2 linked regions of the Oryza sativa Japonica Group genome follow. The protein of the gene in region 1 binds, or shares a complex with, the protein of each later gene. Links are inferred from orthologs where the notes say so. Each region holds a gene or a part of one and is shown on either strand. Other genes may lie near its edges.

Region 1 (3,627 bases):
GAATTTGGACATTTTCGCGGGTACTTTTTTTTTTACTTTTTAGAAAGTCAAGTTCTTTTTTCGAAAGATTACCCCTGTCTTTGTTTATGCTTCGGATTGGAACAAATGACTCTAATTCGTCCACGCCTACGAATCAGTCGACATTTTGTACAAATTTTACGAACAGAAGCTCTTATTTTCATATTTCCGTATTCCTTTCTTAAACTATGAATTTACTCTTTTGGAAAAAATAAGTCTCTTTGTTTGAATTTTAGAACTTTGAATTTTTTACCCTAGAAAAAAAAAAGAAAAACCTAACCCTTTGAATCTTTGGTATCCTTCAAATCTTCGGTATCCTTCGAGTCTTCGGTACGCTTCGAATCCTTATGGGGAAGTCTATAAATTATACGCCCCTTGCTTGAATCATAACGACTTACTTCAATTTTGACCCTATCCCCCATCAGTATTCGTATAGAACTAGACCGGATCTTTCCTGAAATATAGCCCAGGATGATGGTGTCATTCTCTAGGCGAACGCGGAACATTCCGTTGGGTAGGGCTTCCATAACTAAACCCTCGAAAGTAATTTTTGCTTCTCTCGGGTTTTTTTTTTCTCTCCTATTTTTCTTTTCTGTCATATTTTTTTTTCTCCTATTTTTCTTTTTTTATTTTCAAATAAAAAAACGTTGTATTTTTGTTTGAAAAATAGGAAGTTCAAGATAGAATTTGGGTACTATAACTATAGGTGGGGCGATTACCGCTATAGGCGGGCGATTACCATATATAACATAAGACTTCTCCCCCAATTCTGTTTAGTCGAGCTTCTCGATCTGTCATTATACCTCGAGAAGTAGAAAGAATAGCAATTCCCATTCCGCCCAAAACCTTAGGAATTCCTTGATAGTTGGCATAAATTCGTAAGCCAGGTCGGCTGATACGCTTTAAAAAGGTTCTAGTTCTATATATTCCCTTTCTAGTCTTTCTCTTTTGATGTCGCAAAGTTGAAACCAAGAAATATCTGTTACTTTCCTGATGTTTCCGAACACTTTCAATAAAACCCTCTCGTAGAAGTATTTTAACAATGTTTTCGGTAATATTTGTAGATACTACCCGAACAGTTCCTTTTTTATTCATGTCCGCGTTTCTTATAGAGGTTAGTAAATCAGCAATAGTGTCCTTGCCCATAAGACTCTAATTCTAGGTTCCTCCTAATTTTTCTATAATCAACATGTTCTCTTTTTTCTTTTCGTTTTGGATTCTAAAGCATATACGTGAAACACAATCTACTAATTTTTTATTTGATCTATATCTTGTCTACTAGTATTTATAATACTTCAGGAGCTAATGAAACTATTTTAGTAAAATTCAATTCTCTCAATTCCTCGGCGATCGCGCCAAAAACGCGAGTTCCTTTTGGATTTCCTTTTTGATCAATGATAACCGCTGCATTGTCGTCATAGCGTATTATTATACCGTCTTCGCATTTGAACTCTTTACATGTACGTACAATTACAGCTCGAATTACTTCGGATCTTTCTAGAGGCATTTGGGGCACTGCGTCTTTGATTACAGCAACAATAACATCACCAATACGAGCATATCGCTGATTACTAGCAGCTCCTATGACTCGAATACACATCAATTTTCGAGCTCCACTGTTATCTGCTACATTTAAAAGGGTCTGAGGTTGAATCATATTATTTTGATTTCAATTTGTTATTTCAATGCAAAAGGATGAAAGAAATATTGTCTTTCCAGAAAGAAGAACCTGGTTTTTTATTTTCAATACTACTTTTTTTGGGGGGTTATATTTCTAACCGAAGAAATTGACTTCGTATGGGCATTTTGCTGGCAGCTATGGAAATAGCTCGTCTAGCTACAGTTTCGGATACTCCGCCCATTTCATAAAGTATTCGACCTGGTTTAACAACGGCTACCCAATATTCGGGGGATCCCTTTCCCGAACCCATACGTGTTTCGGTCGGTCTTATTGTAACCGGTTTGTCGGGAAATATACGTACCCAGATTTTTCCACCACGACGTGCATATCGTGTCATTGCTCTTCGTCCTGCTTCTATCTGCCTCGCCGTAATCCAAGTGGGTTCAAGTGCTTGAAGAGCATATCTACCAAAACAAATACAATTGCCTCGGTAGGATTTTCCCTTCATTCTTCCTCTATGTTGTTTACGAAATCTGGTTCTTTTGGGGTTATAGTCGATGGTTCTCTCTTAGTTCCATCTCTACTGCAAAACTGGACATGAGAGTTTCTTCTCATCCAGCTCCTCGCGAATCAAATGAGAAAGTGTGCCAAATTTCTCTAATTCCACAATATTCTAAAATATTACGGATAGATACACATTAATAGGAAAGGTTAGGGTTTTTAATATTGAATTTATTAAAATACTAAAATATATAGTCAAGAAAGAGGATCTAGAATATATCTAGATGTGTATGTTTATTTATCTATATTCTATATTTAATGTAATTCTTTTTTTTTTTTTTTTTAATCTCCTTTTTTTATTTTACTCTTATTGAATCGCGGTAAAGTATTCTAATTCAATAAAAATTTCGCGGGCGAATATTTACTCTTTCCTGTCTTATTTGTTAATTCATAACCTTATCAAATAAGACAATTTTTTTGGTTTGTTCCGCCATCCCACCCAATGAAGTATTGGGATTCTTTTCAAGAAAATCCTATCCAGTCATAGGTTCTGTCGTTCCCACTGCTTCTCCTTTAATGGTTAGGTTTGAATCTCGCAATGGAGCTTCCAAAAAATTTCTTTCCGAGTCAATTTCTCAGTTTTATTAACTCGGGACGCTCTTTGTTATTCCTTGAAATTTGTATTTCTTGTTTCAATCAAATTACGATTTCGAATTCTCTGTTATTTTTATTATATTGATGCTTTATCACATTGCTTTTTATGATGTAATTCATAGACCATACATATTGAATCCTATATCTTTCTTATTTCTCTTCCTTCTTTCTATCATCCTTCCTTTTATCTACATCCCCTTTAGTTTTGCTTCACAACTTAGAATCCTATTTTTTTTTAAAGAAAAAATTGCAGTTGCTACACGTATATGATAGATTTACTCATTTATGATAGATGTATTTATTCATATAGTGACTGTTTCTTAGTTAGGATCTCGACAATACGAAGCAATAGGTTGGTTATTAGTTCATTTTCTATAATTACATAGTAGGGTTCATTCTATTTTTTTTTAATCCCCTTTTTGAACCCTAAAAAAAAACTAACGAGTCACACACTAAGCATAGCAATTTTATTAAAAGATTTCTCAATTTTCATTAAATCTTATAGAAAGAGGTAGAATTTCTTCTTTTTTTCAGGGATTTTAGGGAAAATAAGGCTCTTGTCATTTTTTATTCTATTACTGAACAGAATGGGAAGACAGGGTTGGTTATTCTTCGTCTACGAATATCCAAATTTTAACTCCTAATACTCCATAGATAGTTCGAATTGGATAGCAGCAATAATCAATTTTAGCGCGAATTGTTTGGAGGGGAAGTCTACCTTTTTTGATGCACTCGGCACGCGCAATTTCTTTTCCCGCGAGACGGCCTGCAATTTTTACTTTTACTCCCTTTATATCTGTTTTTTTAGTTAATTCAATGGCTTTTTTCATTGC
Region 2 (4,641 bases), on another chromosome or scaffold:
TACTATTTTTCCTTTTTCAAGAATATATGTTTTGTGCATTGTTTGTCTCATCTTGTCAAGTTACCACTATGGATGTTGTCCTGTTGATTGAAAAAAATGAGAATGAACCCTAGTATTTCTTAATATAAAAATCTAGTGCATTGGTTGCAAACTCTGTAATCCAAATGATGGTTTCATTAACAGAATCAGGGTAAAACCTTATTCTTCAAATCAAAATGCATCAAAATGAAAAGCAAAATGTCTTGTTTCATGAGGTTCAGTTGTTGTAATAGGTTGCAGCCTTGCAGCAGGTTGGCATCACACTGGACCCTGGTTTCAGTCCAGTGGAAGACAAGTGATGTTGCCTCTAGGTTCGGAGAGATAACAGTAACAGAAGTTGAGTAAAAGTGACAACTGACAACTGCTCTATTTATCCCCCTCTATTTTTTATATGCTGTAGAGGTGTGAACTTATCAAATGTTAGGACTGTGGGAAAATGTTTGGTTTGTTACTTCACCAAATTTTTGAACAGATGGCGGGTTTGTTTCGTACGTTACCAAATTTTGGTAAGGTAGGGATACTCGAACATATTTGGTTCGTTATCTTACCAAAATTTGTGATGGCTTGAAATGGTAGCAAACAAAACATGCTTCAGGGTTTAGGGTTCTTAAAGCCATTGCGTAGCAGGGTTTACACTTCCAGTTTGGGCCAAAATTGTAGTATATTTCGGGCGAGATAGTTGCTTACCCTTGTGGGCGGGGGGAGCAGCTCACAACAAACTTGCAGACGAAACAACAAAAAATGACAGAATTTTAACATACAATTACCACCAAGCTGACCAGTTGAACTGGTTTGTTGTCCAGCTTTAAAGGAATATGTTTTGCAGATCATCAAAACAATTTCTTGTGTCAAAACTCAAGCGCATAACAGAGTCAACAGACAAAACAACAAAAAAGGGGCAGATTTCTGACCCGATCTGATGGACTGGTTTATTAGTTGATTCTTAAGAACTGCTTCCCAGATCATCACAACAAATTCGAAGCATGTCAAAAGGTGCTTGAATTCAGGGACACAGCTAGAAAAGAAAAAAAAAAGAGATACTGCATCTTCCCTGGTTTCTAGCAAGAACATGAAAGTTTGGTGATTGTATCTGTACTTATGTTCTGCTTCAGCTGGTAATGCATAAAAAATGACTCTAAGCAGCACCATTCATATATATTACAAGGAAAGAAATCATAGGCATCTACATTATGTAGAATGAGACCATGTAATGTACTGTAATTAATTTCAAGAAACAGTGTTTGGTACAGACTAGACAAAAGGTAAGCTCAAGGTAAACCATAATTCAAGGGGGGAAATTCAGACAACCTATTCCAGGATGTCATCGTCGATGTCGATCGGGGTGACCTCGCCGTCGTCGAACTGGTCCTTCCTCGGAGGCGCAGGCGGCGCGAACAGCCGTGCAGGGCCAGTTCCCTTCTTCTTGTTGCGCGGCCTCGCCTGAGATGAGCAAACAGCAGTCAGCAGATGGCAAGTCTGAAGAATTGCAGCAAACAGCAGCACAGGAAGCAATAAGCATATGATTTTTTTATTAATTTTATTTTTGTGCTAGAGACTCACATTTCCGTACGAGTGGTTGAACCTTTTTCCCCTCTTGGTCTTCTTGTCCCCTCTCCCGCAGTAAACTGGTCACACCAAATGGAGTAATTTGAGTTGGAATCGTAATTGGTTCAAACTGCGAGGTTTTTGTTTCAATCTATGTTTTGGTGCTGTATCAATTGAATTCGTGCAATACGATTTGAAAAGCAGTTTCATATAAGATCATCGAGCCAATTTCACACCAGACTAATCCGAATTGACGAACAAAACAGAGACAGGGAGGTTAGGTAGGCATGTCAGTTACCTTCAAGAACTGGAGTGAGCGGGGCCGAGAGGGTGGCGGCGGCGGCGGCGGCGACGCGAGAGCGGGAGCGGGAGAATGCGGCGGCGGCGGGGAGCGCGCAGTAGGAGGAGACGGCGGCGTGGTGGTGGGAGGAGGGGAAGGTGGCCGGGGACGCGGCCATGGCGTGGACGGCGAGGAGCGCCATGGAAGCGAGAGAGGAGTGAGAGCTTGAGGAATGGATGGAATCGGATAAGCTGTGCGTGCATCGGAGTAGATAAAACGGAGGGAAAGGGAAGCCCAGGCCCATGGATTGGGCTTTGTCTCTTGGGCCTATGGACCAAGCCCATGATTGGCTTGGCCCTCTGCAATTCTGATGTTTCTCTTTCTTTTTTTTTTGTCCTCTCATTTCTTTTTCTATAGATAATCATTTTTTTATGATTAAATTATTACTACTAGTATAAAACTTATGAAGAATATAGCAAAGTTATGATATTTTTAGGACTTCTGAAGACAAATCTAGCCATAACGTTTTTAAGATTTTAGAAATCGAAACGTTCAAAATGATATTGATGGTTAAAGCTCAAACACTGTTATGAATATTAGTGGAAGAGATGAAAAACCAGTGTTTTTAAGTGTCTTTGGTTCTGGGAATGTGACTATAGCGTTTGTTGAGTATACAAAGTACAAACAAATAGTTTTCCATGATGGCACCTGGGCAATTAATTAACCCAAAAAACTAGTTTACATATTACTAGTTTCAAACATTAAAAGCTCATATTAGTACCATGACACTTTCTGCTACAATTACTGACTAATAACACAAGTTCATGGCACTTTGTAGACAGGCAAGGAGAGTGTGCATAAGCAGGGCTTTACATAACTTCATACAGTATATATGGATTATGGAGCTACAGATGCAATCCAAACACAACAAAAAGGCACCATTAAGCATTATGAGTATCTGATTGGCACAAAAACTTTTCAGCGACAGAATTTTCAAGAGACTGATAGCTGCTATGTATATGTTCTTTATTTTCCTTGGAACTCATACTGTTCTTCTTACTTCCTTGAGCTCACTGCATAATCACGGGGACCAACTTGCCTCAGTAACTGCATCAGCAGAAGGAACAGGAGATAACCAAGTTGTTTAGCCATGTAGCAATGCTGAAAATAAGGTAAACAGAAAGAGAGAGAGACAAGGATGTAGTACAACATACCTGAAAATATGATTCCAGCTTCTGCTTCAGAGTGGCATGCTCCCTCTTCATCTTCTGAAGAGACCTGCGGCATCTGAAAGAGAACATGGCCTCATCACATCATGTGAGGAAATTGCATGATGATTGGATAGTATGTGAAGAACAAGTTGGACGAGTCAATGAAATGCATACCCTTCCAGATTCCTGTCATTGCAGTTTACTTTGAACACAGAGCACTCATTCTTCATCCTCAGTGCACCAATGCTGCGCCAAACACAGGCCAACTTTAGCGAATTTTGAACACATAAAGCAGGCAAAGATGACAAGCTTTCGGTGAGAACATTCATATTAACAAATAATATTTGTTCATTTCACATCAATAAGCATTCTTAAGTTTGAATGTTTTTATATTGGTTATTTAAGACCTAAGACATGATTTTACACTGATGAGACCTGTAAAAGAATATTGTTCACTCTGTGTTCTGGGCATATGCCCCAGTTTTATACCTGGATCCGCTGCCTTTGAGTTGTTGCACAAGAGAATCTAATCTGTAGAAATCCTGAGGGTATTTATCACTGCATCAAAAGAAATGGAAGTAAATGTAATTGTCATGTCTTTCAAATCATGGGTAATCATTGTACAAAAAATCAATTATCTATTCATATCGTGGATGCAGACATATTACTTACATTGCTTGTTCTATATTTGTCAACAGTCTTGATGAATCTTTGAAGAACAGAGCCGCAACTTCCTCAACAAAATTGGGGCTTGATTCATCCTGCAGTTCTTCCAGCTGATTAAACTGTTCATCAAGGTAACCCTGCAGGAAAACCACGAGGTAGATTATAGGCAAAAGAAAGAAGCATGAAATACACAACCAAAAAAAAAACTTTTGTGCAGTCCATATAATACAAATAAGTGTACTAATTTACAAGGGTAAATCTATATAATTAGTCAAAGATTAAAAAAAAAGTCAGGTTCCAGCAAGTGACTTACTCCCTTCGTCCCATAAAAAACGAATCTAGAACCGGATGTGATATTTTCTAGTACTATGAATCTGGACGTATATATGTCTAGATTCGTAGTACTAGGATGTGTCGCATCCGGTACTAGGTTGGTTTTTTATGGGATGGAGGGAGTAGGCTTCACCCTAGTTAAGTATAAAGGAAATCTAGTATTTGCCTAGGAGATACTAATGTATCATCAAATTGATGCTACTCTATGATTACTCTCTAAAGGTTGAAAGACCTGACTTTTTGTATATTCTCAATGGAATAGTACAAAGGAAATTAAGAAAGTGGTTTGCTATTGTCTATGGCATATTACATCCTTGACGATCTGCTTAAACTCATTATCATAATGCATGCATATGTGATGTAAAAGAAAGTTGTATAACTTTTAGATAAGATAAGATGGGTGCCAACTGCTAAGTGAGCATTATTGCATCATCCCAGACTAGTAGACTACACTACAAAACTGAGTTATGCTGTTGCAAATGAAATTCACAATTGAAACAGAGTGCATGAATGATATAAGCTCCACATGACCACATATCTGACCATTGATTGATAATGCTTTTCTCC

What was found. The genes of interacting proteins can lie anywhere in the genome.
Region 2: rps8 (region 1) and 30S ribosomal protein S31, chloroplastic share a complex: the UniProt entries of both Arabidopsis thaliana proteins name them as parts of the 30S ribosomal subunit. The link is inferred for Oryza sativa Japonica Group from reciprocal best matches to the Arabidopsis thaliana genes rps8 and PSRP4.

What each region holds. Positions count from the first base shown.
Region 1 is NC_001320.1:75,945-79,571, forward strand, and holds rps8 (ribosomal protein S8), read right to left. Parts: upstream 1,165-3,627; coding exon 754-1,164; downstream 1-753. Other genes in the region: rpl36 (ribosomal protein L36), read right to left, coding at 69-182; infA (translation initiation factor 1), read right to left, coding at 294-617; rpl14 (ribosomal protein L14), read right to left, coding at 1,304-1,675; rpl16 (ribosomal protein L16), read right to left, coding at 1,785-2,186, 3,246-3,254; rps3 (ribosomal protein S3), read right to left, coding at 3,400-3,627. UniProt on the Arabidopsis thaliana protein: One of the primary rRNA binding proteins, it binds directly to 16S rRNA central domain where it helps coordinate assembly of the platform of the 30S subunit.
Region 2 is NC_089039.1:5,295,418-5,300,058, forward strand, and holds 30S ribosomal protein S31, chloroplastic, read right to left. Parts: upstream 2,113-4,641; 5' UTR 2,067-2,112; coding exon 1,883-2,066; intron 1,665-1,882; coding exon 1,600-1,664; intron 1,516-1,599; coding exon 1,348-1,515; 3' UTR 957-1,347; downstream 1-956. Other genes in the region: pseudo histidine-containing phosphotransfer protein 2, read right to left, coding at 2,921-2,971, 3,079-3,151, 3,250-3,321, 3,565-3,633, 3,748-3,878.